4 linked regions of the Notamacropus eugenii genome follow. The protein of the gene in region 2 interacts with the protein of the main gene of each other region in a pairwise test. Links are inferred from orthologs where the notes say so. Each region holds a gene or a part of one and is shown on either strand. Other genes may lie near its edges. The genes, in order: CCNH, SFN, MARK3 and BAD.

Evidence for each region.
Region 1: the proteins of SFN (region 2) and CCNH interact in binary tests that used the Homo sapiens proteins (3 or more experiments, as listed by UniProt). The two-hybrid records come from large-scale screens. The link is inferred for Notamacropus eugenii from reciprocal best matches to the Homo sapiens genes SFN and CCNH.
Region 3: the proteins of SFN (region 2) and MARK3 interact in binary tests that used the Homo sapiens proteins (3 or more experiments, as listed by UniProt). The link is inferred for Notamacropus eugenii from reciprocal best matches to the Homo sapiens genes SFN and MARK3.
Region 4: the proteins of SFN (region 2) and BAD interact in binary tests that used the Homo sapiens proteins (3 or more experiments, as listed by UniProt). The link is inferred for Notamacropus eugenii from reciprocal best matches to the Homo sapiens genes SFN and BAD.

Annotation. Positions count from the first base shown.
Region 1 is NC_092875.1:453,967,015-453,974,978, forward strand, and holds the start of CCNH (cyclin-H), read left to right. Parts: upstream 1-4,959; 5' UTR 4,960-5,160; coding exon 5,161-5,277; intron 5,278-7,964. UniProt on the Homo sapiens protein: Regulates CDK7, the catalytic subunit of the CDK-activating kinase (CAK) enzymatic complex. CAK activates the cyclin-associated kinases CDK1, CDK2, CDK4 and CDK6 by threonine phosphorylation.
Region 2 is NC_092876.1:67,974,615-67,981,192, forward strand, and holds SFN (14-3-3 protein sigma), read left to right. Parts: upstream 1-4,610; 5' UTR 4,611-4,690; coding exon 4,691-5,455; 3' UTR 5,456-6,059; downstream 6,060-6,578. UniProt on the Homo sapiens protein: Adapter protein implicated in the regulation of a large spectrum of both general and specialized signaling pathways. Binds to a large number of partners, usually by recognition of a phosphoserine or phosphothreonine motif.
Region 3 is NC_092872.1:349,732,064-349,740,002, forward strand, and holds the start of MARK3 (MAP/microtubule affinity-regulating kinase 3), read right to left. Parts: upstream 3,012-7,939; 5' UTR 2,470-3,011; coding exon 2,419-2,469; intron 1-2,418. UniProt on the Homo sapiens protein: Serine/threonine-protein kinase. Involved in the specific phosphorylation of microtubule-associated proteins for MAP2 and MAP4. Phosphorylates the microtubule-associated protein MAPT/TAU. Phosphorylates CDC25C on 'Ser-216'.
Region 4 is NC_092873.1:17,129,778-17,137,698, forward strand, and holds the start of BAD (bcl2-associated agonist of cell death), read right to left. Parts: upstream 3,004-7,921; 5' UTR 2,896-3,003; intron 421-2,895; 5' UTR 393-420; coding exon 218-392; intron 1-217. UniProt on the Homo sapiens protein: Promotes cell death. Successfully competes for the binding to Bcl-X(L), Bcl-2 and Bcl-W, thereby affecting the level of heterodimerization of these proteins with BAX. Can reverse the death repressor activity of Bcl-X(L), but not that of Bcl-2.

The sequences.
Region 1 (7,964 bases), on a different chromosome or scaffold from region 2:
AAACTACCAAAAAACTGTTTTATAGAGCGAGAAAAAAATAGTAACAAAATTCATCTGTAAGAACAAAAGATCCAGAGTACCAAGGGAATTAATGCAAAAAAAAAAAAAAAAAAGGGCAAAGGAAGGTGGCCTAGCTGTACCAGATATAAAACTATACTATAAAGCAATAATTATTGAAACTATTGGTACTGGCTAAGAAATACATTGGTGGATCAGTGGAATAGGTTAGGTACAAGACAACAGTAAATGTCTAGAGTAATCTACTATTTGATAAACCCAAATATTTCACCTTCTGGGATAAGAACTCAGTGTTTGACAAAAACTACTAGGAAAAAATATGGCAGAAACTAGGCATAGACCAACATCTCATAACATAAACTAAGATAAGGTCAAAACAGGTACATGATTTAGACATTAAGCAGAGCAAGGAATAGTTTACCTGTCAAATCTAGGAGAAGGGAAGAATTTATGAACAAACAAGAGATAGAGAATATTATGAAATGCAAAATGGGTAATTTTATTACATTGAATTTGCACTAATAAAACCAATGCAACCAAGATTAGAAGGAACGCAGAAAGCCGGGAAACAATTTTTACAGCCAGTGTTTCTGAAAAAGGCATCATTTCTCAAATACGTAGAGAACTGAGTCAAATTTTTAAGAATACATGTCATTTCCCCAATTGATGAATTGTCAAATGATATGAACAGCCAATTTTTAGATAAAGAAATCAAAACTATCTATAATCATAAAAAAATGCTTTAAATCACTATCAATTAGACTAATATGAATCAAAACAACTCTGAGGTACCACTTCATATTTATCAGATTGGCTAATATGACAGAAAAGTAAAATGGTAAATGTTGGAGAAGTTATGGGAAAACTGGAACACTAATGCAGCGTTGGTGGAGTTGTGAACTGATCCAACCTTTCTGGAGAACATTTTGGAACTATTCCTAAACGGCTATAAAACTGTGCATATCCCTTTGATTCAGCAGTACTACTTCTAGGTCTGCATCCCAAAGAGATCATAAAAAAGAGAAAAGACCCACATGTACAAAAATACTTATAGCAGTTCTTTTTGTGGTGGCAAAGAACTGGAAATTGAGGGGAAGTCCAACAACTGGGGAATGGCTGAACAAGCTGAGGTATATGAATGTAATGGAATACTATTGTGCTATAAGAAATGCAGAGCAGGCAGATTTCAGAAAAACCTAAAAAGACTTACATGAACTGATACTGAGTAAAGTGAGCAGAACCAGGAGAACATTGTACACAGTAACAGCAACACTGTTCAATGATCAACGGGGACAGACTTAGCTCTTCTCAGTAATACAATGATCAAAAACAATTCCAAAAGAGCCATGATGGAAAATGCTATCCACATCCTGAGTAAGAACTGTGGAGTCTGAATGCAAATCAAAATATATTATTTTCATTTGTTTTTTTTCCTTTCTCGTGGTTTTCCCCTTTTGTTCTGATTCTTCTTTCACAACATGACTAATGTGGAAATGTTTAACATTATTGTACATATATTACCTCTATCAGATTGCTTGCTGTCTTAGGAAGGAGCCTGGGGAGGGGGGAAGGAAGGGAGGGAGGGAGTATAATTTGGAACTCAAAATCTTATAAAAGTGAATGTTGAAAACTATCTTTACATGTAATTGGGAAAAATAAGATATTATTAAGTGAAAGAGTCACTATTTGATAAAAATTGATTAGAAAGCATATTGTTGTATGTCAACTCTGAGATGACAAAGGACCCTAGGACAGAGGTTCCCAAACTTATTTGGCCTACTGTCCCCTCTAAAAAAAATTACTCAGTGTCCCTACTTTCTTCAACCTTTTATCCATTTGCTTTTAAAATTTGTGTCATTACTATATATATATATATGTATATATGTATATATAGCATGTATATTTTTACAAATTATTCAAATGTAATTAATAATTTAAATAAATTAAATGCAAATTTAATAACTTTTTTGTAAATTTGTGTTTTCCTGCATTGAAATGCATTGTAACCGTATAGTATCATATTGTAAACAAGTCATTACATGTACATATTCCTAAAGGTTGCACTTCCCAACAATGCTCAACATGCTCATCTGCCAACACTTGCTTGTTAAGACCCGTCTGTAGACTTGACCATTGATCAGTTATAACTTGAATTTGATGTGTTTATTTGGAAAACAATATAATCATTATGACTTTAACTCTGCCACAAAACAGATGAAACACATGAACAGTTTTCAAAATTTCCTAGTTTTCTCTTCTTTCTTTGTACTTCTACTGCCCCCTTATTTTAATTCAATACCCCCAATTGCACCTAAGGTTACTATTGCCCCCCTGGATCATTCCAGTGGCCCCCAGGTGTCGGTGTCACCCACTTGAGAACCTCTGCAGAACCACAGACATGTAGGGAAAGTCATCCCCTCAAGAGCTCCTAACTAAGACTTTTATTATCTGAAGCCCTAGAGAATGCTGAGTGGAATCCACTTTATCACCTCCTCCCCTGATTCATTCCCAATAAGATAATTCTTTTTCCTAGTTTGAGCTGATCTGTCATCCCATTTCCAGCTAAAGAATGTGCTTGCTCTTGTGTATTATTTAGCATATTCTAATCTCTAATTTCTCTAATTCATTTGCTGATTTGTTTGATCAAATAGGTTCACTACCTATTGATAAGGCTCTTTGTGCAACCAGTATTTGGTGGGAAGGGACTAAGTTCCATAGCATAAGCTAAGGGCTACCTCTGTCCTTGAGATCAATCAGGGAAAGAATTTTCATTCTGAACCCACACTCATATCCTTAGAACTCTAGAGACAGCAAAGGTTGACAAAAAATGTCATTCTAGCCCAATACCCTTCAAAGAGATAGGAAAGACCTCTCCATCATGGTATTCCTGGATCCTACCTGATCTTTGCTCACAGCTACTGTCCTGATAGTGCCTGCATGACTCTCTTTTACTCTCCACAAAGATGGACAAAGATTCCGGATCATATCTCCCCATGCCATCTGTGACACTACCGCCCCCCCCCCCCATATAGTTTTAAAACAGATAGCACACACATATATCTAGGGAGTTTCATATCAACTGGTATAAAATGAAATGAATACAACAATTTAAAAAACAAGCACAACCCAGTAAAGGCGAGCAAGTTTGAAAGACTAAAGAGGACCGATCTATCTTACTTCCCTGTCAGAAATGACAAGAGTCTGGTTCACACAAATCTGACGTGATGAGAACAATATCCTCAGTCCCTCTTATTCTTCTTCCTCCCCAGCAAGTTAGGTTGGTTTTTCCTTAAGAGATATCAAAACTATCCTGGAGAGTTAACTGCCTCAAGAGTTTCCAAGTCAACCTGAGGACAAACTGCGAAGATATCAGCTGATGGTGACCCTTAGCCCTGAGGCTGTCCGTGTAGTAGCAGGATCATGCTTTTCCGGATGGAGGGAAGCCTCTTTTCATTAAGTGTCCAAAGGACCAAGAATGACTCATTTATTTCCATTCCACACCAGAGTACCAGCAGCAGAGGGATCCAGCCCCCTGTACCTAAGGTTTGTGTGAAGAGATGAAAAGTGAGAATAAATGGAGTAATTTATACAATGGCTTCAACATTGCAAAGACTACTTTTAATCGATCCTATCAGCAACGCCTGGTAGAGCTGGCGCTTAAAGATCGTCTATAGTACTCAGTAAACTGGGGCTTAGAGGCATCAGGTGACAAGGACACACAGACAGACACAACAAACACACACAGACACAGACACACCCACAGACACACAAAAAGGCAGACACAGACGCACACAGACATACACACACACAGACACACACAGACGGACATACACACACGCAGACACACCCACAGACAGACATACACACCCACATAGACACACCCACAGACACACAAAAAGGCAGACACAGACACGCACACAGACAGACATACACACACAGACATACCCACAGACAGACAGACACACACACATACACACACCCGGATACACACACGCAGACACACCCACACAGACACACCCACAGATAGACAGATACACCCACACAGACACACAAAAAGGCAGACACAGACGCACACAGACATACACACACACACACACACACACACACATACACACACCCGGACACACACATACACACACCCGGACACACACATACACACACGCAGACACACCCACAAACAGACAGACACACAAAAAGGCAGACACAGACACGCACACAGACAGACATACACACACAGACATACCCACAGACAGACACACACACATACACACACCCGGATACACACACACAGACACACCCACACAGACACACAAAAAGGCAGACAGACACGCACACAGACATACACACACAGACATACCCACAGACAGACACACACACACATACACACACCAACACAGACACACAGACAGACAGATACACCCCCACACACACACAGACACACCGCCACGCACCCCGGGCCTGCACACTACATCTGCCTGGTTCTACCTCTCGCAGGGCCAGGAAGGCGCGCCCATCTCAGTGCAGGGCACAATCGCTTCCAGCTTTTCCTCCCTCCGCACATTTTCCTGCCCAGCCCTCCGGGCCACCCTCTTAATAAGACCAGCTGACTGGTCCTTCTAGGTACAGTCTAATTTCCTCTCACAGGGGCTGGGGAGGGAGATTCCTCTTCTCCATCCACAGAGGTCACTGACACCCTAAATCCGCTTCCTGGCACCCCAAATCCTCCCTACTTCGCGCGTAGCCCGACTCTCTGCCCCCTCCCATACCTAGTAAGGGGAGCGCGGGAGGGCGGCGACGACGCAACACGCGCCCTACGGCACACGGCGGGAGGAGTCGCTGCGCCGCGGCCACTCGTCGGCGCATGACGTCACAGGAGAGCTCCCTCCCACGACCTCTACGGCCATAGAAGAAATGCTAAAGCCGGCCCCTCCCCCGCCCCACGCAGAGGCGGCAGCGCCGTGACGTCAGCACGCCGGCCGACGAGGAGAGGCGAGGCGGGGCTTGCTGCGCTTCGTTGTCGGCGTCTCGCGAGGGCTGCGTGCGTTCTCCGGTGCGCGGCGGGCGGCTCGCTCTTCTCCTCCCCGTGTTCTCGGGGCCGTGGGCCGGCCCTGCCGGACCCCTGAGCCTCGGCCGCCGGCCGGGATGTACCACAACAGCAGCCAGAAGCGGCACTGGACGTTCTCGGGCGAGGAGCAGCTGGGGCGCCTCCGCGCCGACGCCAACCGCAAGTTCAAGTGCAAAGTGGTGGCTAACGGGAAGGTTAGTGCGAGCCCCCGGCCCCCCGCGGCCTGGCCCGTGGGCCCCCCCGGGGGTCCCGACCCCCCCGGCCCGCCTTCTGCGGCCTCAGAGTCAGCGAGCCCAGCGCGCCTTCCTGGAGTCGCGAACCCCGAGCTCCGATCCAGCCCCCTGCCTGACCCGCTTCTCTGCCTCAGTTTCCCCGTCTGTCACTTGGAGATAGCAGCACGTGCCTCGAGGTTGCTGCGACGATCCAAGTAGACGTCGGTGCCCCCCGTGGCGGGGCGTAAAGAGCTGCGGAAGTGCTGGTTGTTCCTGTTGTTGAGACTCGAGAGCCGGGGAGCCTCTGAGGCACGCCCCAAGCCTGGAGGGCTAGTGCCCTGCCCGGGATCTCCGGGCTTAGACTCCAACCCAGGACTTCCGGCTCTCTTCCAGGTTCTTTATTTTGCGGAGGGTTGCAGATTGTTTCCAGCTAATGGTTGTGCCTTTTAAATTGGCAGAGGGTCGGTTCTACACTGCGAGAACCCTGACTTGAAATGCATAGCTGCTTTAGGGGTCGCTAACTTGTGGTGTGGAGTTGTGTGGTACTTTCCTTCCTCAGAATAGACCGTGGTGGTCCCAGCCGAGGAATTCATTCTCTTGTGACCCACTAACTGGTGAAGATCTTTATACCTGGCTAAATAGGTCGTAGGACTGCAATATTTATTAAGCACTTAGCATGGCAAGCAGATGCCAGGTATTGGGGATAGAAAGACAGAGAGAAACAGCCCCCACTTTCAGGCAGCCAACATCCCACCAGAGCAGACAGCGGGTGCATCTGTAGGCATGCACAGAATGTAACAGATAATCTTGAGGAGAAGGGGCGCAGCTAGGAGGACCAGGAAAGACCTTGTACAACAGGTGAGGTGGCACTTGAGAGCAGTCACCCTGCAGAGGTAAGAAGGGAAAGCATTCCAGGCATGGGCAGCACCTGGCGTAAAGGCATAGGTAAGAAAAGGCAAGAAGACGATGAGTATGGCGAGGCTGGGAAGTCTTGGTGGGGTATGAGGTGTAACAGTTTCAATCCTAGTATCTCTTTCCATTGTGTCAGACACATGCAAAGATGGTTACTGTTACTCAGAAGTATTCCCCTTCCCTAATTGGAAACCTCTTTCCCCTCTCTGACTTTTGTAAGCCTTACCCCTTCAGAATCTCTTCTTTGCCTTCATTAAGCTCTCCAGTCTCAGCATTTTCTCAGGCTCTGACGAATACTAGTTAGCTTTTTCCACTCCATACTGTCTTCTGCTCTATGATACCTTGCTCATTTGTCCTGTTGTCATTCATCTCTGGACTACCCTCATCACTTTACCTCTCCTGTTCCAACCCAGCTGACCTCAGCTGGAGGAAGACTTCATAAACTTTCTGGCCAGGTACCATTACAAGTTCATATTATCCAGCCTCAACTGAACCTTCACCGCCCTAGGGCAGTCGTTTTAGTGTTCCCTAATAGAGTCCTTATCCAGTTGCCCAGAGAAGGTGACAAATTTGAGGCCGTTTGACAGGAACTCCATTTCCTACTCTGTCCTTCTTTCCTCCAGTCTCAGAGGTGACTTTTTGCCTTGCCAGAGCCAGCCTTTCTACTGTGTGCACCCTTGAGCCCATCACCTTCAGCAGATTGACACACTTAGTCTTCCTTAACCGCTTCTTCAGTCTCAATTTCACTACTGCTTTCAAATATACCTCTTTTAAACATCTCTTGACCCCGCCATCACCTCAAGCTATTGTTTAGTATCCTTTATTTTTCAACCAAGCTCCTTGAAAAAGGTTTCTGCATTCATTGTTTACACAATGTTGAGCCCTTTGTAATCTGGCTTCAGACTTCTTCACTTAACTAAAACTTCTCCCTGCAGAATTGGTAAGGATCTTTTAATTGCCAAATCTGTTGTGGCCCTCTCCTCCTGGATAGTCTCTTCTAGTCTCCCCTTCATCCCCTCCCCCACCTCCAGACTTTTCACACCAATTGCTTATTGGACCAGCGCTTTCAAACTGGATTTCCTGGTGACATCTCAAATTTAACATGTCTTCAACTGAACTCATTAACTCTTCCTATCCATCCTTCTTCCAAACTTGCCCTGTGAAGGACACAACTATCCTTCCTGTCCCCCAGGTTTGTAATGTCAGCTTTATCCTTGACTCCACTTTCCCTTACCCCATGTATCTAATCAGTTGCTAAAGTTTGATATTTCTACCTCTACATCTCTTTCATCTAATACTTTCCGTCTATTCACGCAGCTACCACCTTAGTTTAGGCCCTCATCGCCTCTCACAAGAGTTGCCAAGTTGATTAAGTGAGGTAAAGTGAGATAAAGGTAGTTGACAATAACATTGAGAGGTTGTGAATATGGTTGACTGAAAGGATGATGGGGCCCTTTGGAAGAAGATTATAGGTTTTGGACATACTGTGTTTTCAGTGCCTATGAGACATCAAATTCAAATGTCCAGTGGGCAGGTCATTCAGATCTGGGATTGAACTAAAACTGGGGGATTGGATTTGTAGGTCTGTTCATGTTATGTGTAGATACGCATTGCAACTAATGGTGTAGTGGTTAGGACACTGTAGACAGAAAGCCCTGGATTAAAATCTTGCGTTAGAAACTTGTATAAGATGAGTTTGGATTCAGTGGCTTCTTTTTTTAAAAATTCTATTTTGTGGAATGAAATAAACATTTCCA
Region 2 (6,578 bases):
CACATCAGTACGCTATCATACATAGACTGTCATGACTTGCTCTGGCCCCAGAATGCCTTGTGCTGGTGCTGAGCCTTGTCCTGTGCTGATGAGCCTCTGCATACTTCTCAGAAAGCACATGCCATCTTTCCCCAGGCTTCTGCTGGAAATCTTTCCAGCTTGGTAGGGCCTGCTAGCACTTGCCACAAACAGACCTTCCCAGGCCCAGAGTCACCTCCATGACATAAAGTGGTGTCAGAGAAGGATGAGTAGAAATATGAGTTAGTTTGGCCTTTCTGGTTGAGGATTCCCTTTTGGTTTCTGACCTAAATCCCGTCCTTTCCTCTCAGGGCTGGTTTGGAGAGGGCCTGAACAGCCAATGGCCACCTGCCTTCCCCAGAATAACTCTTGAGTGCCAAAGCAAAGCCTGTTATTATCAGGTAAAACATTATTGGGTAGCCATGTGGCACTGAAGGCTGGGGCCCTGCCTTCCTAAAGGGGATGCTCTGCGCAGGGGAGGGAAGGCAGGATGGGGAAAGCAGCCGTTTCTGCTGACACAGGGCACTGAACAGGGTGCTCTCATGGAGCTGTACTGGGAGAGGCCGTCCAGACCTCCCTGAACAGCCAGGCCTGGACCTGCTGCCTCCTCAAGTGATAAATGGAGGCCTGGAGGCACAGGGAGGTGCCCAAGACAGGAACTGAGTCATAAGTCAGGGAGGTACAGAATCCAGGCAAACTGAGGAGCCTGAGAAAAGTTAAGGGGCTGCCCAAGGCCCCTAGCTGCTAGGGAATATAGGATATCTTACCTTGTCCAGAGTTAATAACTGCCTTTTAATGCATGCAAAATGTTTTACACTCAACCTTTCTCCTTTGGGCCCCAAGGATGGAACTTGAAGAATGAGAGTAAGGAGCTATCATAAAGATACTGCTGCATTTTATAGATGGGGAAACTGAGTCTCAGAGCTGAAGTGATATCGGATCATAGAACTAGAGCAGGGAGGCCATCTAGTCCAGCCCTTTTGTTTTACAGATAAGGAAACTGAGATTCAGAAGTGGGGACTTGTTGAAGGTCACACAGCTAGTAACTGTCTGAGGAATACTTTGACCCCAGCAATTCCTAACTCCAGAGACAGTACTCTATCCACTGTTCTAACCTGTCTCTGTCAAATGAGAGAAGGCCATGTTCAATAGGGGTTGGGAGGAGGGGTGGCAGTTTGGAGAGGTCAAGCATATATTGAGAAGGCTGTAAGACAATATTAATGATGAGAGGAGCCTTAGAGGTATCAAATTAAATTCTTTCATTTTGCAAATGTCCCTTGCCCCAGAGAAGGGAAGTGACTTAGGCATCCAGGTAGGCAGTGACAGTCTGGACCAGAAGCAGTCTCATGACTGACGGTCAACAGACATTTATGGAGCGCTGCTACGTGCTGGGCTCTGTACTACATGCTGAGTATTGGAAGAAAGGCAGAGAAACAAACCATACAACCCTAGACCCCACTTCAGAGGAGCTCACAGGCTGAGGGGGTGACCTACATGTCCAGGGGAAGCTGGGAGATTCTCGGAGGGAAGGCTTCACCATCCAGCATGAATTCCCTTCCATGGGCTGGGCTGTCATAGGATAACTGATCTGGGAAGGTACAGTGAGAAGCCAGGTTTCTGAATCCCTAGGGCCAGTCCTGCCCTCCTCCAGCACTGCTGCATCCGGAGATGGAGAAGCTGAGAATGAGTGACAAGCACTCCAGGAAGGTGCTGGAGAGGTCTGGAACCGATTTAGGCCAGGTAGAGGGAAGAGTGGTACCAAGACAGAACTGATCCCAGGATCAGCTCTACAGCTAGGAGGGCCCTTAGAACATAGGATGTCAGGACTGGGAGGGCCCTTAGAACACAGAATGTCAGAGCTGAGAAGTCTCTTAGAAAGAGCTGGGGGCACCTTAGAATACAGGATGTCATGACTACACATGTATAACCTAGGTTGAATTGCTTGCCTTCTCAAGAGGGTATGTGGGTAGGGAAGAAGGGAGACAAGGTTTTAAAAACAAATGCTAAAAAATTCTGTTTACGGTAACTGGGAAATAAGATATACAGGCAATAGGGTGTAGAAATCTATTGTGGCCTACAAGCAGTAAAGGGAAAAGGGATAGGAGGGGGCGAAAGAGGAAAGGGCAGACTGGGGAAAGGGGTAACCAGAATGCACACTGTCTTGGGGTGGGTGGAGGGGAGAGAGATGGGGAGAAAATTTGGAACTCAAAATCTTGAGGAAATTAATATTGAAAACTAAAAATAAACTAATTTTAAAAAAGAACACAGGATGTCAGAGCTAGAAGGGGTGGAGATGAGGTGGGGGACCCAGGTATTTAGAGCTACTTAATTTTATAGCTGAGGAAGCTGAGGTCTGTAGAGAAGAAGGTCTTGTTCAGTGTAACAAGGTCAGCAGCAGCGCTGAAATCCAAGCCCAGGTCCTCCGACTACAAGCCCAGTGGTCTGTCACCTACCCCAAAATCTCAGAAAGAAAACTAGGGACAAACCTTATCCCCTTTTCCTTCCCAGTAGAGCTAGCCTGGCTTGGAATCTCAACCCCTACACCAAGGATGCCTTGACGACGATGACTGGAGGAACTTCACCTCCACCCACGTGGATTCCTCCGGTGAGCAAGGTCTTTCTCACTTCTAACCAAAATCCCTCCTGATTCACCAAGAGTCTGCTCCCTCTGGCTAGGTGTGACTCTGTCTTTCCTCCTTAGCAAAGAGGCTGCTGTCATGAGCAGGGAAGGATGACTCCTAATGGGACATCAAACAGACTTGGGCAGTGGCTTCCCCAAGAACAGGTCATTTGCACCCATGTAGGTGGGTACTAAGAGAAGCCGGGGGAGGTAGGGCGCTGCTTGGTAGCCCTCGAACAGGGACCATAGAGGAACTGGATGAGAGAATCCCGGACAGATTCCCAAAGCAGGAAGCCTCACCCCTGAACACTAGACCTGCACTTTGTAGAGCTGTGGGGTGGGGCTATATGGGCAGGAGCCCCTTGGTGTTCAATAGCCACCACCGCCCCGTAGGCAATGTGCCAACTCCCTCGGGTGTGGCTCTCCGTTGAGGTGGAGTCAGAGCCCGGACTGGAAAGGAGGTGTGATCCACTGTGGCCTGAGGGCACAGAGAAGGGGTACTGCTACTTGCCCCCCTGCCCAGCAGGGGGCCATGAATAGAGGACAGGGGCAGAAAAAGATCTGTGAAATAAATTAGAAGTGGCTGAATAAAATCCCCATAAGAGTCCTCATATAACAAGACCTTGGCTATCCATGCTGTCACCACTGCCTCCCCTGGGAGTCAATACCGCCCCCCTCCCAGGAACTAAACTGGGCCTAGAGCCCAGGTGTCCTACTTGCCAGCCTCAGACAAATCAGTGGAGCCTGGCACTAGGTCAAAGGTGAGTCAGAGAGGAAAGTGGGGCAGCTGACGAAGTTGGGGACCCCACCCTCTCCAGGGCGCCCACATGAGCCTCCCTGATACTCTATGGCTTGGGAGGGTACTGCCAGACACCTAAGCTTGGAGCCCAGCCACAGCAATGTCCCTGGGGAAAGTCCTCCAGCTAGTGGGAGCTGGTTGCTCAGTTGAAAGGGAAAATTGCAGTGTAATGGGGATGGTATTGGGCCCAACTGGGTGGCTAATTACAAAGGATGGGCCTCCAGCGTCCTCGCTTGTTAAACTCATCTTTAAGTGGCACATTGAGATGCCACCTCAACAATCTGGGGGGGAGGGGAGGAGATTTAGGGAGCAGGGCTGTGGGGTCCTTGCTTAGCTCTGGAGGGCTTCTCAGATAGGAGTATGCCTAAGGCAGAGAGATGCCTGGGGCCCTCCCAGGAGGATCAGTAGGAACCAGCACTGCCCATTCCCCAGGGATATCCAATACAACTCCTGGCATATTGCAGGAGGCTGCCAGGCTGGGCCCACATGGTACCTGTGCCACAGGTGGAGTGCTTCCTCCAGTGTCTTCTAGACCCTGGCTAGGGGCTGAGTAAGGGCAGAGTTTGTTGGAGGGCATTCAGATATTCTGTGTTTAAAGTCAAAAGACCAGCTTTTATTAAAGGGGTGCTTTGTCCCGCAGACACAGTCTCTGTTACACACACCCCAGAGTGAGTGCACCCTGTTACTGAACCATCCACACACTCCCCCATCCCACCATTCACATCTGACCGTACAGACCCATAAGGGACTGACCATTCCTATTTCCTAAAAACTAATGGGGTTTAGCGATTTCAGGAAAACCTCAAGCTACTTTCTAAGCCTCCCACTCCCAGACTCCCTGGGTCGTGATGAAGAAGCCCATTATTGTCCGCGGTAACTGGGAGATCAACCTGGGGACCCAGAGCAGGCCCCTGAGCATTGCAGAGCCTGTGGGACAGAAGGCCCCGGGAGGCAGCTGCCTTAGGTGGGGCCCACGCCTGTCTTTCTCCGGTTGAGTATCCCCATGATGACTAATGCGCCTCCTGTCCTGGCCTCTTTACCTTTAAGGAGCAGCCAGGAAAAAAAAGAAAGAAAGAAAGAAAAGGGCCCAGGACTGGGGGAGGCAGGAGCCAGAGGCCCAGCCCCGCCTCCCGCCCAGCCCTGCCCCTCCCCACCCCTGCCAAAAAGCCGGGCTGAGAGGGAGAGGCTGAGCAGAGGCAGAGCCCAGGTGCCCCGGGATTCAGCGCAGCCCCGACCCAGCCCCAGCCCGAGCCATGGAGAGAGGCAGACTGATCCAGAAGGCCAAGCTGGCGGAGCAGGCCGAGCGCTACGAGGACATGGCCGAGTTCATGAAGGGCGCCGTGGAGAAAGGCGACGAGCTGTCGTGCGAGGAGCGCAACCTGCTGTCGGTGGCCTACAAGAACGTGGTGGGCGGCCTGCGGGCGGCCTGGAGGGTGCTGTCCAGCATCGAGCAGAAGGGGGCCGAGGAGGACAGCGCCGAGGCCAAGGAGCGCGAGCCCGAGGTGCGCGAGTACCGGGAGAAGGTGGAGGGCGAGCTGCGCGCCGTCTGCGGCATCGTGCTCGGCCTGCTCGACTCGCACCTCATCAAGGACGCGGGCGACGCCGAGAGCCGCGTCTTCTACCTGAAGATGAAGGGCGACTATTTCCGCTACCTGGCCGAGGTGGGCACGGGCGACGACAAGAAGAGCACCATCGACTCGGCCCGCGCCGCCTACCAGGAGGCCATGGACATCAGCAAGAAGGACATGCTGCCCACCAACCCCATCCGCCTGGGGCTGGCGCTGAACTTTTCCGTCTTCCACTACGAGATCGCCAGCAGCCCCGAGGAGGCCATCTCTCTGGCCAAGACCACCTTCGACGAGGCCATGACCGAACTGCACACCCTGAGCGAGGACTCCTACAAGGACAGCACCCTCATCATGCAGCTGCTGCGAGACAACCTGACCCTCTGGACGGCGGACAGCGCCGGGGAGGAGGGCGGCGAGGCACCGCCCCCCGAGGAGCAGCCCCAGAGCTGAGCCCCGCTCCCCGGCGCCCCGACGGCCCCTTCCGTTCCCTGTCCCCCGCCCCGGCCTGGCCCCCCTCGGGAGAGAGGACTTGTGTGTGGGGCGGGCCCCCGGATCCCTCTCCCTCCCTGCGCCCTGCCTCCTCCTCCTCCCCTCCCCAGCCCCTTAGCCCCCCAACCCTACCCCGCTGCGCGCCCCGGCTCTGGAGCGACTCAGACGCGAAAACGAGGGCAGCTGGGCAGGGAGCTCCGGGAGTCTCTCCGTCTAGGCCCAGGCTATCAGGGACGGTGGTGGCAAGAGCCCCCACGATCGTCCCAAGATCTCTGGCTCTCTGAGCTGGCCCCGGGGATCGCCCCCCCGGCGCTCTCCCTGTCATCTCCTGCCCCTGCTCCCTGTGGTTCTGAGGGATTGGGAAGTGCCAGGCCCTTAGGGGCTTGGGAGGGACTGGACTGGTGGGGCCCAGAGGTTGTGTGAGTGTGTTGGAGGAAGGAAGAGTGTGTGGATGTGTTTGGGTGACAGCGTGTGCTCGCGCGCTGGTGTGTGTGTGCGACTGTCAGAGAGCATGTCTGTCTGAGTGTGACAAAGTTCCTTCTCAATAAAGAAAGCTTCCCTGACACTCCTTTTGTCTTTTTGCCGTCTGCGTCGGAGGGGCAGGTGGGAAGGCTCACTTGATGGGGCGGGGCGGGGGAAGGTGTTGGTTCTGAGACCTGTCTTCTTTCTGGTTCTAGAGGCCAGCATTACCTGGCCCTCACCCCCAGGGGAGCTGGCCCATCCCAAGGAGCAGCCGGAAGGGATTTGGGGTAGATTACCTCAGAGTTAGGTGGGGTTGAGGGGTGGGGTGGGGCAGGGTTTTTTTCTAGTGACAGAATCCAAGGTCAGGGACTAACCCTCAGTCCCCAGGAGAGTTCACATCGGAACAGAGGATTTCAGAGGACTCCTTCCTCTTCCTCGAGCCCTAAGATAAGGATCCGTAAGAAACAGCCCTGGTGCTGGAGTGGGAGGAAAGTTGGACCTGAGAAAGCCAGATCTCGGGGTGGAGGAGAGGGGAGGCTAGGGCAGTGTTGAGAAGAAATGAGAGTGAAGTCAGATTCCAGGACAGGTGAGATGAGAAGCCACAGATCTGAAGGGAGGAGGA
Region 3 (7,939 bases), on a different chromosome or scaffold from region 2:
TGTTCAGTAGTTTGTAGTGCATTTAAGAAAAACATATCATTTATAATTTCGTACCAACTTCGACCTATTGTTATTAACCAAGTACTCAAGGTTATTATATACAAGAGATACTCTGTCCCAAATTTTATAAGAGATTAAATCACCAGATGGCTAACTAACAAATAGCAGTGTGGGGATTAAACTCAGGCATTTGATACTGTGTGGTAGTTAAGTGTGAAGAACACTTAGAGCAAGGAAACTTTTCCTAAGGTAGTCTATAATCAGTCACCTTCACCCATTACTGGTTTCAGTCCAAGTATATGCCTTCATCCACTTTTTCATCTGGACTGAAATCTCCCTAATTGATCCTCCTGCCTCAAGTCATTTCCCCTACTTACACACCTTTTACACAGGTGCCCAAGTAATACTACTAAAACTGACTAGGCCAGTACCCTGCTCAAAAACTCCCAAAAGCTCTTTATTTCTCCAAGATTAAAATATAAACTCTTCTGTTTGGCTGTTAAAGCACTTCATGGTCTGGCACGAACATGTTTTAAGATTTATTACATCTTCTCTAACTCTACTGTACAACCCAACTGTCCTACTTGCTGCTCCTCTATCTTCTGCTTCTGTAGCTTGGCAGACAGTTCCCCATGCCTGGAAGGCATTCCCTGCTCATCACTACCTTTTAAAATTCCTAGATTCCTTCAATGCTCCATTCAAGTACCATCTACCTATACGAAGTCTTCCCTAATGTCAGCAGTTGCCACTCATCAATTCATCAAATTAACCTTCTATTTACTTTGTATATATTGTGTATTTATTTGCCTGTGTACATAGTTTCCCCAACAGAATGTATGTTCCTTGAGGACAGGGCCTTTTTCATTTGTCTTTGTAGCCCCAGAATCTGGAACAGTGTCTGGCATATAGTAGGAATGTAATAAAAGCTTTTAAATCTAGCTGTCAATAAACTTTTAAATTTAAGTACAGGATTTACTTTCCAGAGATTACTTAACTAGATATTTTTTTAGCAGAGAAGTTTAGTTGGCAATCCAATTAGTTCTTCACTAAAAACTGGATGAATTCAGACAATTCATTTGGATACGATTTACCCCAATGTTGGGGGGGGGTCACTTTAAAACAAGGAATCTTCACCTTTTTTTAATCTCAGAGATCCCTATTGCAATCTGTGAAACTTAAGGATCTTCTATGAATACTTTTTAAATGCATAAAATAAAATACATAGAATTACCAAAGAAACCAACTATATTTACATACAGCTATCAAAATATTTTTTAAAAAGTTCCCAGGACACCAGGTGAAGGAAGTCTACTTTAAAGGGATTACAAAGAATAGTAACTGATTTAACAAGAAATTTTTTTTTCTGTTTCTCTTCCCCTCCTTAAAACAGATGTTACAAAAACTACTCCTTATTAAATGTGTGTATTCGTTGTAATTAGGGTCTTCAAATCTAGTGGTTTCTGAATACCACCCAAAGAGATCTTAAGGAGTTCTTAAAGGTAGCATTTTTTAAGAGACTGTGATTATTGCCAGTTCAAACCTTTTCTTTTAAAGAATGAGCCATAAATGGTAGCTCATTTTGCCCAATTTATTATTTTATTAAGTACTAAAAAACACAATCTTTAACTGACAATCTCATTAGATATACAAGACCAAAACCAGAGTCTAGAGAAACCAATACTGCAATGTCTCCAAACCCCCTAAAGGAGCAGGTAGAAGACAACCCAAGCAAGTTACATGGACTAGTCTAACAGCAACTTTTAGACTTTATTAGTCAATAACTCCCACCAAGGCAACACAAAACATATTCTCGCTGCCCAAAGAACAATAGATATTACTTTACTCCGAACCAGTTTGAAAATAAACATTTTTAAGAAAACACGTCAAGTGCTCTTTGATCAAATCGGGCCCATGGCGTGCAGATTCAAAGTTTAGATAGGATACAGTAGTTTTGACCAACCCAAAAGCTCCCAAAGAACAGGGACTGCAGCAAAACTTAGGATTTGTTCCCACCAAGCAAAATCCTGATTCATTCATAGAGCTTTCCTCCTAACAACCCTGCGTGGTAGGTACCGCCAATCATATGACCCCAACGGACCAAAAAGGAAACTGAGTCTCTGGGAGGTGCAGAGACAAGGTCACGAAGGTGACAAGCAGGGATGTCGCCGGGGTCCTCCCAATTCAGCGCTCCTCCAAGTACCCTGGCCACGGGCTCTGGGCTGGTGCTGCACCGAACGTTGTTGTGAGTAGTAAAAGGCTGGTTATTTTCAGATTTGGAGACAAAATTTACCCAGCTGTTTTTTAGCTTCTGGAAAAAAAAGGGCGCTCAAGCAATGACACTATTGGAAACATCTCCCAGAATAAAATACATACTTCCAACTCATTGTTACTAAGTAAATCCATACCGTGGCTACTTACGTTTTCAGTGTCTCGCTCAATGACCGTTGGCAGAGGGGTCCTAGTGGACATTTTAATTCACTTTTAATTTTTTCCCCCACAATGGAGAGGAAAAAGGGGAAAAAAAGAAACAAAAGAAACAAAAAGGACGTCCGACAAAACGAGCAACGACTACGAGGGAGAGTCACGCCTCGCCGGTCCGGGGGCCGCAGGGCAGTCTCAGTAGTGGTTCGGAAGGGGCACCATGGGGGAGGGTGGCTTCCTTCTCCCGCCCCCCGCACGGTGGTCTAGAGCCCAGGACCGGCCGAACGATTCCCCGGGCAGGTTCCGGGCTTCATGCTGCTTTCGCTGCCCCACCCCCCCGAGCCCGGGGCCGGACACCGACCCCCTCCCCCTCCCCGCCCCTCCAGCTGCACCGGGGCGGGGAGGCTTCAGGCGTGGGAAAGTCTCGGGAGGAGAGCGGTGCCCAGGGCAGGGCAGTGGAGGGCGCGGCGGGGCTGGGCTAGGGGGTCTCTAAGGTCCGTCCCGGCTCCGGGGCTGGGCAGCACGAGCAGAGAAGGCAGAGAAGGCGGCGGCGGCGGCGGACAGGGCCGGGCCGCGCAGGGGAGGGGAGGCTGCGGGGTCCGCCCGCCAGGCTCTCCGGGGTCCCCGCGAGCCTCGCACTCCTCCGGCCGCCGCGGCTCCTCTTCCTCCCCTCAGCTTTCAGCGCCGGGGCCTCCGCACCCCGGCACCAGCCGCCCTGGGAGAGGAGTGGAGGGTAGGCTGCGGAGGGTCACAGGTGCCGACCATGGAAGGGGCCTCGGGCGGAGGAGAACTGCGGTCTCCCTTCACCGTCTCTTGCTGCCCCAGCCCCGCCCGCCCGCCCTCCCGCCTGCCTCCGCCGCTCGAATCTCCGCAGCCCGCTGCCGCCTCTCCTCAGAGATCCAAGATGGCCGCCACCCAGCTTCCTCTGCTGCCTCCGGCTCCCCTCGCCGACCCCAGACGGGAACGGAAGTGACGACCTCCTCTTCGCCCCGCCCCTCCGGAGGAGGCTCGGCCAATAGCCGAGGAGGGAGGAGGCAAGCCTTGGCTGTTGTTGCTAAGGGCGACTGGATTCCTGTCAGGGAGGGAAGGAAGGAAAAGGGAAAGGGAGCGGGGTAAAGAGAGAGGGGGAGAGGAGGAGAAGGTAATAAGGGGAAAAGGTGGGGCCGATGGTGAAAGAAGACCTTTAGGGTCGTAGGGTTTAAGAGACTGAAGAGACCCGGGAGACCAAGGAGAGATCTTGAAGTCCAAACCACTGTTTTTACAGAAGGGGAAACTGAGGCACAGAGCAGGGAATGGACCTGCCCAAGGTCATAGAATTAATAATATATTATATTATGTAATATAGTAAATATTATATAAATATGCTACATTTATAAAATAAATTATATAATACAATAAATATTTATATAATATAAAATATAGTAAATATTTCTATAACGTATAATAAAATATATAATATAAATTACGTAGACATATAATCAATTGTATAATATATAATTAATAAGCAGCTAAGCTAGAAGAACCCACGTCCTCTGAATCTAAATCCAGTGATCTCTGCCCTTGACCTCTTTCTCTGGAAGTGGAGTTTAACTCCTATATTTCCTTTAAAGAATCTTTGGAAGTCCATTGTGTGGGTGTTAAGTCCCATCTGTTTGATTTCTTGACCATGTCTTCCCTTCCTACTTCTCATCATGTTTCAGCTTTCAGCCAGACATTACTGAACTGAGCTCTGTAGTCTAGGAAAATATAGAAGAGACCATCCTTTAGAGCAAAAGACAAAAATATGGCTCTGGTCATGTCCTGTCCCTGACTTAAAAATGTTTGGTGACTTCCTGTTATCTACCACATACAGTTAATAAGGTCAAAGATGAGAGCACAGGATTTAGAGGTGGACAGGGATTTGGAGGGGACCTAGTCCCATCTCCTGAAGCCCAGGGGGTAAGTTGATTTGCCCAAGGCCACATAGATCGTAAGTATGTGAACATGAATTAGGTCAAACTTTTATGTCTGCTATTGAAGGCCCATTGTAACTTGGCACTCCTCTTTATTTATTTCCAGCTTTAACTCACGCTATTCTCCACCATCTAGGTAAACAATTGAGCAAGCATTTATTAAGTGTCTACTATATACAAATCATTTTCTAAGATGATACAGCTGTAAAGATAAAATGAAAAACAGTGCCTGTCCTCAAGGAGCTTCTGATGAATATCACGCCACTGGTCCCAGAAGACCCAGGAGAAGGGAGCGAGAATGGTGACCTTACACAGTCTTCCCTCACTCAAATCAAAGTCAACTGCAAGTCATGTCATCATCTTGATGTCATGGTCCTCTTTGAGAACGAAGGACAAACACAACAATCTACTAGGGAGATACATCAAATAATTTGAGAGAGCACAAGCAACTAAGGGAAACAGGAAAGGCTTTTTCTAGGAGGGTACACAAATCTCTAAGGTCTCTTCTAGTTCTCACAGCTTATAAGCCTACTATCCCAGAAGATTAACTGGGGGTGAACAGGAGGCTTGGGTATGAAGAGAAGAATGTCACTGTATTGTTTAGAAAATTAGCAAGTACATCATGAGCTTTTAAGAAGCTGAAAATACAAGATGCTTGATATTGATACAGAAGTACCAGCTTCTTCTGCTTATGCATACTGTAATCAATGCAAAACCAACCAAACATGAACAGTTTATGGTGGACAGAATTTTTCTGTCCTAGAAACTTGTACCAGGATCACAGATCCAGAGCTGGAAAGGACTTCTTGGGCCATGTAGTCCAACTCTCTCATTTGACTGATGATGTAAATGAGAACCCAGAGACTTGCTGCACAAGGTCATGTAAAGTGGAAGGGTGAGGATTCAAGCCTAGATCTGGTCTGAAACCAAGTTCAGCACTCCAAGTGGAATATTTTTCCCACTGCACCATGCTGCCTCTAGAAAAGGGCAAAGTCCCATGTATTGTATTTTCCTCCACATTGAATTCCTCTCTGTCCCCCAGCATATCATGCACTTTCCTACCTGCATGCTTTTGCTTAAGATGTTTTCTATAACTGGAATATTGTCCCTTTAGTTCTTCATCTACTGAAGATAAATACAGCAATGACAGACACATACAGTGCTTCAGTAGTATCTCCATTTTGCGGATAAAGAAACTGAGGTTTAGAGAGCATAATTACACTGTATCTGAGGTGATATTTGAACCCAGATCTCCTAACTATAAGCAAATCATATTCCTGCCTATCCTTTAAAGCTCAATTCAAATTATCTTCTAATATAATAATAATATAAAATATAAAAATAATAACCTAATAAAAATTTCGTTTCTTATTTTTCAAGCAGAATTTTGCTTAACACTTTTGATGCTCTTATGAAATATCATGAGTTATGACTCTCTTTTTGTCTAATCCTTTTACTAAACTGTAAATTCCATAAGCGTATGCATGGGACTTACTTTAACTTTGTATCTCCTCTAGTGGCATGTCATCCCAATGCAACAGGCATTTGATAAATGTTTGTTGCCTTGCGTTGAATTGAAGTTTGTAGTCCCTACCTTTCAGGGGTTTATGAAGCAATAGGGAAGCAAGATTGACCCGCATGAAGCACCTAGAGAACAATAGGAAGATATGATTAAGGAGCTTCTTATCTGGGGCAGAGAACTAAAGGAGTTGAAAAAGTGAGTAGTCAGGGAAAGCTTCAGAGAAAGTAGGTCTTTCATTTGGCCTTGAATTCAGTTCAATCCAACAAACATTTTAAAGCACAAGTCCCTGTGTTCCCCTGGGGAACAAAAATTTTAAATAACTCAGAGCCTGCCTTCAAAAAGCTTACAATTCAAGGAGAATATTACTCGTACACAAGTTACTATGATACTTGTATCACAGAATATAATAAGAACAAAGGAGTGATCCAGTCAAATTGCTATAAAAAAACTGGGTTGAGGGGAGAGAAATTTTTAGGTGAGGCGAGGGGAGAAGTGGCCAAGTTTCATGAAGGTGGCATCCAAGTTGGGTATTAAATGAAATGAAGGAGTTCAACAGATGGAAATGAGCAAAGGGATCCCATTGCAGGCATGAGGATTTTGTAAACAAAGGCTTAGAGCCCAGAGAAGACAGGACAAGAACAGATGGTGAGTAGTCTAGTTTTGCTGGAATGCAGAATATGTGAAGGGGAGTGATGGCTGGTAAGATAGAGTGGCACCAGACTCTGGAAGAGGGATGATTGATGGCCTGAAGTAATTGGACAGCCTTAACAAAGGGATGGGAAAGATGTGTGAGGATATTCAGCACTTCAGAAAAAGAGGAAGATGGGAATTAAGGAAGTTTATATCAATTTCTTCAGTCTTCCCAGTAAAGTAAAAGGTGTGTTCATCTGCTGTGCAGAAGGCTGAGTTGCATTTGATTAGACTGAAACAAAGCCTTAATATGTGATCATGTAGTCAGCCCTGTGAATTATATTAAAATATAGAAGGCACATCCTCTATCCTCAGTGAGCTTCTCATCTAAAGAAAAAAAAACCCCAACAGAACAGAAGGTTTTTCAAAGCATCTGTGATGTACAAGACATTGTTCCATGTGCTAGCTGCCTAAAGACAATAAATAAGTAAATAAATGATATAGTCTCTGTGATGCTCATATTCTGCTGAAGAGATACAACATTTATGCAGATAATTACATACAAAATAAACTTGGAAAAAGGAGTAGTCCTAAAAAGTAGGGGGTTCAGGAAAGAAGTTACATTGTTTGGAGGCAATTGAAGTTAAGTGGCTTGTCTAGGATCACATAGCTATGTGCCATTGTGCCACCTAGATGCCTCGAAAAGAGTTGTTATAAAAAATGCTAGAAAAAGGAACAGAAAAGGTCCAACCATTCTAGAAAGCTATTTGGAATTATTCATCAAAAATCACTAAGCTGCGTATACCCTTTGACCAAGAAATGCCCCAAAGAGAGCAAAGAAATAGGAAAGGAACTCAGATGTTTTACACACACCCATATATATATGTGTGATTGTATAAAAACATATAGATATATGTATATATGTGTAGAAAGAATTGATTTCATATTATATATATGTATATATATATTCAGCTCTTTATAGTGTCAAAGAAATAAGGGAATACCCACCAATTGAATGACTAAAATTATGGTATATGTGCTGTAATAATGAAAGGGAAAGTTCAGAGAAAATTGGGAGGATTTGCATGAACTGATCTAAAATAGGATGAGAACCAGGAGAACAATCTATACAATAATACCATTATAAATGTAAACAATTTTGAAAGACTTGAGATTTTTGATTAGTGTGATAACCAACAAGGATTGCAGAAGACCAATGACAAAACATGCTAACTATCTTCTAATAGAGGGACAATAGACTTAAGGTGCAGAATGAGAAATACATTTTTGGACAAGGCCAATGTAGAGATTTGTTTTGTTTAACTATGCTATTTCTTATAAGGGTTTTGTTTTTCTTTTCTTTTTTGTTTCAGTGATGAGAAGACTGGAGAGAGATGTCTTCCTCTTTCTGCTC
Region 4 (7,921 bases), on a different chromosome or scaffold from region 2:
CATCAGTAAAATGGAGATAAAACAGTCCCTCCCTTTTAGGTGTCCCAAAAGTCTTTGTGCCCTTTGAAAGCTCTCTGCTACTTACTACCTGGACATGTCCTGGGTTCCCATCTACCACAGGGCATTAGCTGTTCTCAGGTTACAGCTACAATGGTGTAGACTAGAGAGAACCTGAGGCCAGAGTCAGGCTCATGGAGGGGTGGGGGCATGCACCTACCCTCTCGGTGGTGGGTTCCAGGTTCAGGTCTCTGTCTCGGCCTGCTTTGGGCCAGGCTGGGGGCAGTAAAGCTGTGCCTGCCCAGCTCCCTGGGCTCCCCCAGGGCACAGGCTGAGGATCCTTCTTCTGGGCCATCCTCCTGCTCACTGGGTTCAAACTCTGGGATCTGAAACATGCTCAGAGGGTGGGAGGCATCATCTAGCCTGATGAGGAAAGAGAGGAGAGGAGCAGAGGTTGGGGGCAAAGCCAGGGCAGTCTCTGGAGGAGGGTGGGAGGCCGGGTCACCGGGTGCCAGTTCAGGGCTGAAAACAGGGACTTGTGCTGAGGACCAGCTAGGATACCTTCCTACTGCTGGGCTCCAGCACTACTTCTAACCTAATAATAAACATATTAAAAAGGCTTTAAGGCACAGTGGATAGAATCTTAGCTCTGGAGTCAGTAAAACTTGTGTTCAAATCCTGCCCCTGCCACTTACTAGTTACAGGATTCTAGGCAAGTCATTATCCTCTCTCTAAAATGTCATTATAGAAACCGTGTTAAGGATCAGTAGTCCTGCTGCCATCTAACCCCCTCATTGGACAGAAATGGAAACCAATGCCCAGCGAGGTGGGGTTTGAGGTCACCCAGGTAGCGTCCCAGGCAATGTGCTTCAATTTGAGCCTGGGTTTCTCTGACCTAGGCTTTTTCCACTGTCCTACTGCCTGAAACCCCATCCTACTCCTCTGCAGGCCTCAGTTGCCCTGTCCGTTAAAGAGGGAGAGTAATATTTTCCCTGCTTGCCCTCCAAGGGTGTTTGGATTTGAAGGGGGAGGGGCTGTTTCTCCCTCATATCCTAGTGCACTGGAAATCCCAAAGAGATAAGGTTGGTCATTATTATCTGTAAGTAAAGAGACCAGAGGAAACTCAACAAACACCCATTAATACACCAGTGGACCCCTCATGCCCTGGGGGTACAAGGCCCAGAATGAAAAGTTCTTAGCCTTCAGGAGCTTTCATTGTGTGAGAGAGGACCAAGATGCCAGCCCCAAGGTGTGTGATAGATCCCTGGCAGTACCTGCCATGCTCCCAACAGCTCAGTCCTTCTTGGAACCACAACCATTCCTGCCCAGGATGGGTCAGTCAGCTCTCCTCGGGCTTCCTTCTCAGCCCTCCCATACCCTCTCTGGGCACTTCCACGGACCCTGTTAATAGCTCCTTGACTTGTACCCAGCTATTGGCATGCTGTCTCCCCATCAGACTGGGAGATTCTTGAGGGCAGGGGCTATCTTTTGCCTTCCTGTGTATTCCCAGATCTTAGCACAGCACCTGACACCCAGTAGGTGTTTACTACATGTTTGCTGACTGACTGATTGACCTATTAGGGAGTGATGTCCTTCTGGTACACTTGTAGTTTTTTCTCAGTTGGGTTTGACCCCATTTGGGGTTTTCTTGGAAGAGATACTGGAGTGATTTCTCCAGCTCATTTTACAGATGAGCAAAGTGGGAAAAACAGGGTGAAATGACTTGCCCAGGGTCACCCAGCCAGGGAGTGTGAGGCCAGATTTGAACTCAAAAAGAGGAGTCTTCTTGACTCCAGACCCAGTACTCTATCTACCGATCCAGGGAGCTGCTCCTCTGGCACACAGTACACGCTTAATCAATTCGTGTTGACTTGATCATACCAATGACTTTCGGGTTTGAAACACTCTTTTCAGGCCACCACACCCTAGCAAAGTCAGAGAGTCAACAGGCATTGATTAAGCATCTACTGTATGCCAGGCTCTGTGCTGAGAACTCTGGATATAAAGAAAGGCAGAAGGCAGACCCTGTGCTCAAGGGTTTTACAATTTAACTGAAAGTGTGTGTGTGTGGGAGAGACAACATGCAAACAAAGGGTATAAATGAGTTACAAACAGGAAAAAATTGGAGCTCATCGAAGGGGCAAGGACTGCCTCTCCTTTGCCTGGCAGTCGTTCATCACTTAAATTTTGTTGTGGATCATTCACCTGGCCAGATAAAGCTGGGAACAGGATTTGAACTCAGGTCCCCTGACTTGAGAGCCAGAGCTCTTGCTAGGGTTCCAAGGTATCTTGGGGAGCAGAGGGTCCAGCCCAGTTCCTCGGATTTCCAAGCCAAGGGTCTGGGGCTCGGCTTAGCTCCCCTCCCCGGCTAAGAATGAGTCCCAGATAAGAACTCACCTTTCTGCAGCCCTGTTAAAACCTGCCAAACACTTTCCCCACAACCTCTCAGTTTAATGCTGTTTACTCCCATTTGACAGAGGAGAAAGCTGAGGCCAGAGAGGGCAGTGCCTTGCCCATAGTCGCTCCTGTGCAGACTTTGTAGGGGGGTTATGGGGAGGGACCCCTCTTCCGAAGATTCAGGCCAGGGCTGGGGCTGTAATCCACACCGGCAGAGGGAGCTTCCGCTCCAGGAGAGCCCTTCCCTCCCAGCATCCCCACGAGGAGGGAGGTGGGGCCAAGCCTGTCTTCCCCATTAGACAGAGAAGGAAACTGAGGCTGGGGAGGTGGGGTCGGGCAGCTACGCCTCTGTCCCTCCCAGCTTCCATCCCCGCCGGGCAGCCCAGAGGATTTTCCTCCCTTCTCCCCTCCCTCCCTCCCTCTTTCCCCGGCTGGGGCCCGCTCCCTGCAGCCCAAGCCCGGGCTTGCCCTTGGCCCTGGCCCCGGGGGAAGGAGGCTTACCCGGATGGGCAGCCCCGGCCTTCTCTCTCTGTCTCTGGGTCTGCGCCTGGGGGCAGCTCCCGGGCTCCCCACTCTGGGGCTCTGGGGCTCTCTCCTCCCCTTTCCCTCCCTCCGGTTTCCCTAGGAGTCCAGCCCCCGTTGCCTGGGTGAGTGAAACTGTCATGAAACTGACCCAATCAGCTCCCGCGATGTCACCCCCGCTGGGAGGGAGGAGGAAGGAGGAGGAGGGGAAAGCAGGAGGCGTGGAGGGCCTCCCCCAGCCCGGGCCCCTGGCCCCTCCTCCCCCCGCCCCAGCTGACCGGCCCGGCGACCAGGCTTCTTCCCTCCCCTCTCCGGCCACTCTGATTCTTCCTTCCTCTGGTCCTGCGCTGGCTTCCTCTGCGGACCTGGACCGGGGCCGAGATTGCGAGAGCCTCGACTTCTAGCTAGCCGGGCTCCCCCCTTCCCCCATTCCTGCCATGGGCCTCCCCCTCCCCTCCTCCCAGGCTCGGTTCCAATCCCCTCCCTCCGAGACCCCTTCCAGTGACGGCCACTGTTTACCTTGTATCCACTCGTGGATTTCCTCGTTAGAAGCTAAGCTCCTCCTGGGCAGTTAACTTTAACTTTTTATTTTTCTTTCTTCCTTCACTTAATAAATGCTTATTGACCAACTTTCTGAATGATCCACGTTGTGCGGAGTAGGAAACTGAGGCCCTTGGGGAGTGAAGGGACTTGCCCAAGGTCACCCCACTTAGATGGGGAGAAGAGACTGGTTTGAACCTGAGCACTCTTTCTCCAAAGCGGACTATTTCTACCCTCTCCCTTCCCTCCCCACTTTCTCACCCACTCCTGCTTGGATGTCTAGGCTGGTCTGGCCCATCTGGAAATTATTCCTCACTTTCTTTGTTCCAGAATGACTCAGTTAAACTTCCATTCTGAGCCCAACACCGACTCATCTTCAGTTAAAAAACAAGAGTGGTTGGCAGGGAATTGTCTTTGGACTTTGACGACTTGGATTTCAAGCCCGCCTTCGACACATTAATTGTGTGTCTCAAAGTTTCAGTTTCCTCTTCTGTAAAATGGGGATACACAGTCTGCTGGTGGTTCAGGGAAAGCCTTTGCCAATTGGAATATTCTCTCCCTGGTCACCTTTACCCCAAGGACCTCCCAGGCTTCCTAAGTGCCAACTAAGGTCCCCCCTTCCCAATCTACAAGAAGCCATCCCCAGTCCCTCTTCGCTCTCTCCTTCTCTTTCTAGTCATCTGGTTTGTAGCTTGTTTGTTCCGAGTGGTTTACTTGTCTGTCTCTATTAGATTGTGAAGTCCTTGAGTGCAAGGCCTGTCTTTTGTCTCTTTTTGTATCCCTAGCAGGTAACACACTGCCTAGCACATAGTAGGTACTTAATAATTGTTTGTTGACTGTTAAGAGAGGTATTTAATAATAATAGCTATTATTTTTGCTGGAACTTGTGAGGTTCTCGGTAGAAGGGACCTCCTAGACTGTCTAACAACCTAAACCTGCAAAATGGCTGGAAATTGTAGGCCAGGTACAGTGGCCTGATGGAAACTGGAGTCCAGTTAAGTACTGAATGAAATTGGGTCCAAGATTCAGTATTTGAATCTTTTGTGTCCTTGGGAAAGTTGTTTCCTTCTCTGGGTCTCACTTTCCTCATCTGTAAAGAGCCCCGAGGTCTCTTTTGGCCCTAAGTCTATGTTCCTAAATTAAAATACTCTTCGAGCATCCTATGGGGACCGCTTGGAAGTCAAGCAGTGATTTTCCCAGGGTCATACAACCAGTCTGTATTAGAGGCTAGACTTGGCCTTCTGTCTACTCCCCAGTGCTGCCTTTTATGTTTTTGATGTCATGACTATGATTATAAGAATTATGTTTGTGTTGTCTAGTTGTTTTCGTGTCTTACTCTCTGTGACCCCATTTAAGGTTTTCTTGACAAAGACACTGGAGCGGTTTGCCATTTCCTTCTTCAGTTCGTTTTACAGATGAGGAAACTGAGGCAAGGGGGTTAAGTGACTCAACCAGGGTCACACAGCTAGAAAGTGTCTGAGGTCAGGTTTTAACTCAGGAAAATGAATCTTCCTGACTTTGGGTCTAGGGCTCTGTGCCTACCCTCTCATAATAATTATATGCGTAATGAAATAGGGTACTTAGGTGATCCGGTGGCTACAATGCCATGCCTAGAGTCAGGAATACTGATGGTCCTGAGTTAAAACTTGGCCTCAGACACCCTTAGCTATGTGACCCTGAGCAAGTCACTTTACCTCTCCATCTCAGTTTTCTCATCTGTAAAATGAACTGGAGAAGGAAATGACAAACCTCTCCAATGTCTTTGCCAAGAAAACCCAAAATGGGGACATGGAGAGTGAATTAGACTGAAAGGACCTAACGACATTCCCATGGTGATGTATCCCCTAGGGAGCCCCAAGGGGCTAAAGACCAGGGGATGGAGAGGAAGGTCTTCAGATGCAAAATAGGCATCCCCCAATTATTTGAGTCAGATGCTTGAGCAACTCACTTGCATGGAAGAAGACATTTAGCCTTAGAAAGGGCTTCTCGGGCACAGACTGAAGCCCTGTCTTCTCCCAGCGACCTAGCCCTAGACAATCCCAGACCCTGCAGAGTGCTGCTGATCGCCTGAAGTCAATCAGTCTGTCAAACAAATCAACAATTACTGAGCTTACTAAGTATGAGACATTGGTAAATTCTGGGGATTCAAAGAAAGGTAAATAATAAAAAGAATTAAAATCTTCCTGTTTCACATTCTTATGGGGGAGACATGTAAATATAAATATAGGTATATATACACACACAAATATATATATATATGCATATACATACACACTCATACATATGTTATTGCTGTGTTTGTCCTTTGTTCAGGAAGAGGACCATGGCATCAGGGAGATAACATGACTTGCAGTTGACTTTGGTCTGAGTGAGGGAGGGCTGTGCAAGGTCACCAGCCTCCCTTCCTCCTCCAGAGCCATCTGGGTGCAGTGGCCAGATATTCATCAGGAGAACTGGCAATGGCCAAGGATGCAACAGTAATAACTGCTGGGGATTGGGAAAAACCTCCTGCAGAAGGTAGGATTTGAGGTCAGTCAACAAATATCATGCACATATTAGTGCCAAAGGCTGGAGATACAGACATAAGCAAAGACAAGGTTCCTGCCCTCTAAAGACACACACTCAATAAATGGGAGTTAATTCCAGAGGGAAGGCACCATGGGGCAGAGATGACCTGGAAAGGCCTCCTGTGGAATGTGGGATTTGAAAGGAGTCCTGAAGAAGTGCAGGGAAACCAGGTTAGATGGAGAGAGTGTGTTCCAAGCATGAAGGACAGCCAGTGCAAAGGCCTGGAATCTGAAGATGATCATCTTTTTAGAGGAAGAGTCAGAAGGCCAATGGAGTTAGATTCTAGAGTCCTGGGGAGGTGAATAAATGGTCCAAAGACTGAACAGATCCTGTTGTGGAGAGGATGGGCAGATTGGGTGAGTGTACAGGAACCATAGTTATGTTTGTAGGTGGCTGGCAAGGAGCTGGCAGACTGGCAGAGACTGAAGAGGAGAGAGATGAGAAGGAACAGTTCCTGTGGAGTGTGGGGAGAAAAATAAAAAGTTTGCTTTGTGGCGGTGTAGGCTCAGTTAAGCTCAGATGTCATCAGTGTGTAATGGGCCCAATCAACCTGGTTCTGTGATTTCCTATTACTCCTTCCTCCCCGCCCCCCTCCGCAATGAACTGGAGCAAAGAGGTAGAAGGTGGGAGCAATCCAGGGTGGAGGCTTGGCCAGATGGGATCTACAAATAGGGAAAAGAGGGTAGAGAAGAACATGGCGTTCCTTGAGTTGGTTCAACAAGGGGTTGAGATGGAGAAGGGAGGACAGTGTGGCCGGTGTAAGAGTGATAGATGAGCACAAAAAACAGGCTGAAGGGAAGGATGGAATGATTGGATAAAAGAATTTGGGAGGGGAACCTGGAAGAGGAACAGTCAGGGGGTGGGGGTGGAGGTGGAAAGACCAAGGGTGTGATCATCTGTCTTTTCTTTGTACAGCTGGGGTGTCATGGAGGCTTAGATCCTAGAAACTGAGTGGGTTGAAGAACCAAGTAGTTAGGTAGGATCATGTATGAAGTTTCCAAGTATGAGAAGAGATGGATGGGAAGGGGAGAAAGACAGTCAACCAGGTCCAGAACTCATTGAGTGGAACAGTCCTGGGGATTGAGAGCTCCAGTGGCAAGGTGGAATGCCTTATTGAGAGGCCTGCCTGGCCTTGACAGACCTCAGAATGAAGGCTCCTAAGGGGTCAGAGAAGAGAGATTTCTGCCAGTCCTAAACTAAGGGTCCTTGCACTCGCTGAAAGAACTTAGCAGGACTCCAAGTTCAAAAAGTACAGTGCCAGTGAAGGGAAAGGGAATAAATATTTATTCATTAATGGGGAAATGCAATCGGGATTAACTCACTTGCCTGGGGTCACACAGTTGATAAGTATCAGAGCTCAAATTTGAACTCAGGTCTTCCTGACTCCAGGTTGGGCACTCTATCCATTGTGCCACCTAGTTTCCCCAGAATAAGCACATATTATGCATCTACTTGTGCCAAGCACTGTACTAAGGGCTTTACATATGTGAACTCATTTGATTTTTCCCAGTCACTTTGGGAGGTTGGTGCTATTATCATCCCCGTTTTATAGAACCCAGGGTCACATAGCTAGTAAATTTCTGAGGCTGGATTTGAAATCAGGTCTTCAGGTCCAGTACTGTACCTATTTTAATCAGATGCCTCCTGCAGGTGATGAAAGACCATTAAAGGGGAAATCTGGGCTAGTCAAAGCACTGTGGCATGTGGGGAACAGGCCCAGCTGAGCAGTGGAGTAACTTGTCTATACCCTACGCCACTGAACTTCCTGACAACTCTGGAGAAAGATAGAAAGTTGAGACCCTTCCATTTCAGCACTGTGAGTGGCCGTGGCCAGCTCGGGTCCTTGGGCATCGCTGCCATAGCACTTCAGGTTTGTACTCCAACCTTCCCTTGAGGG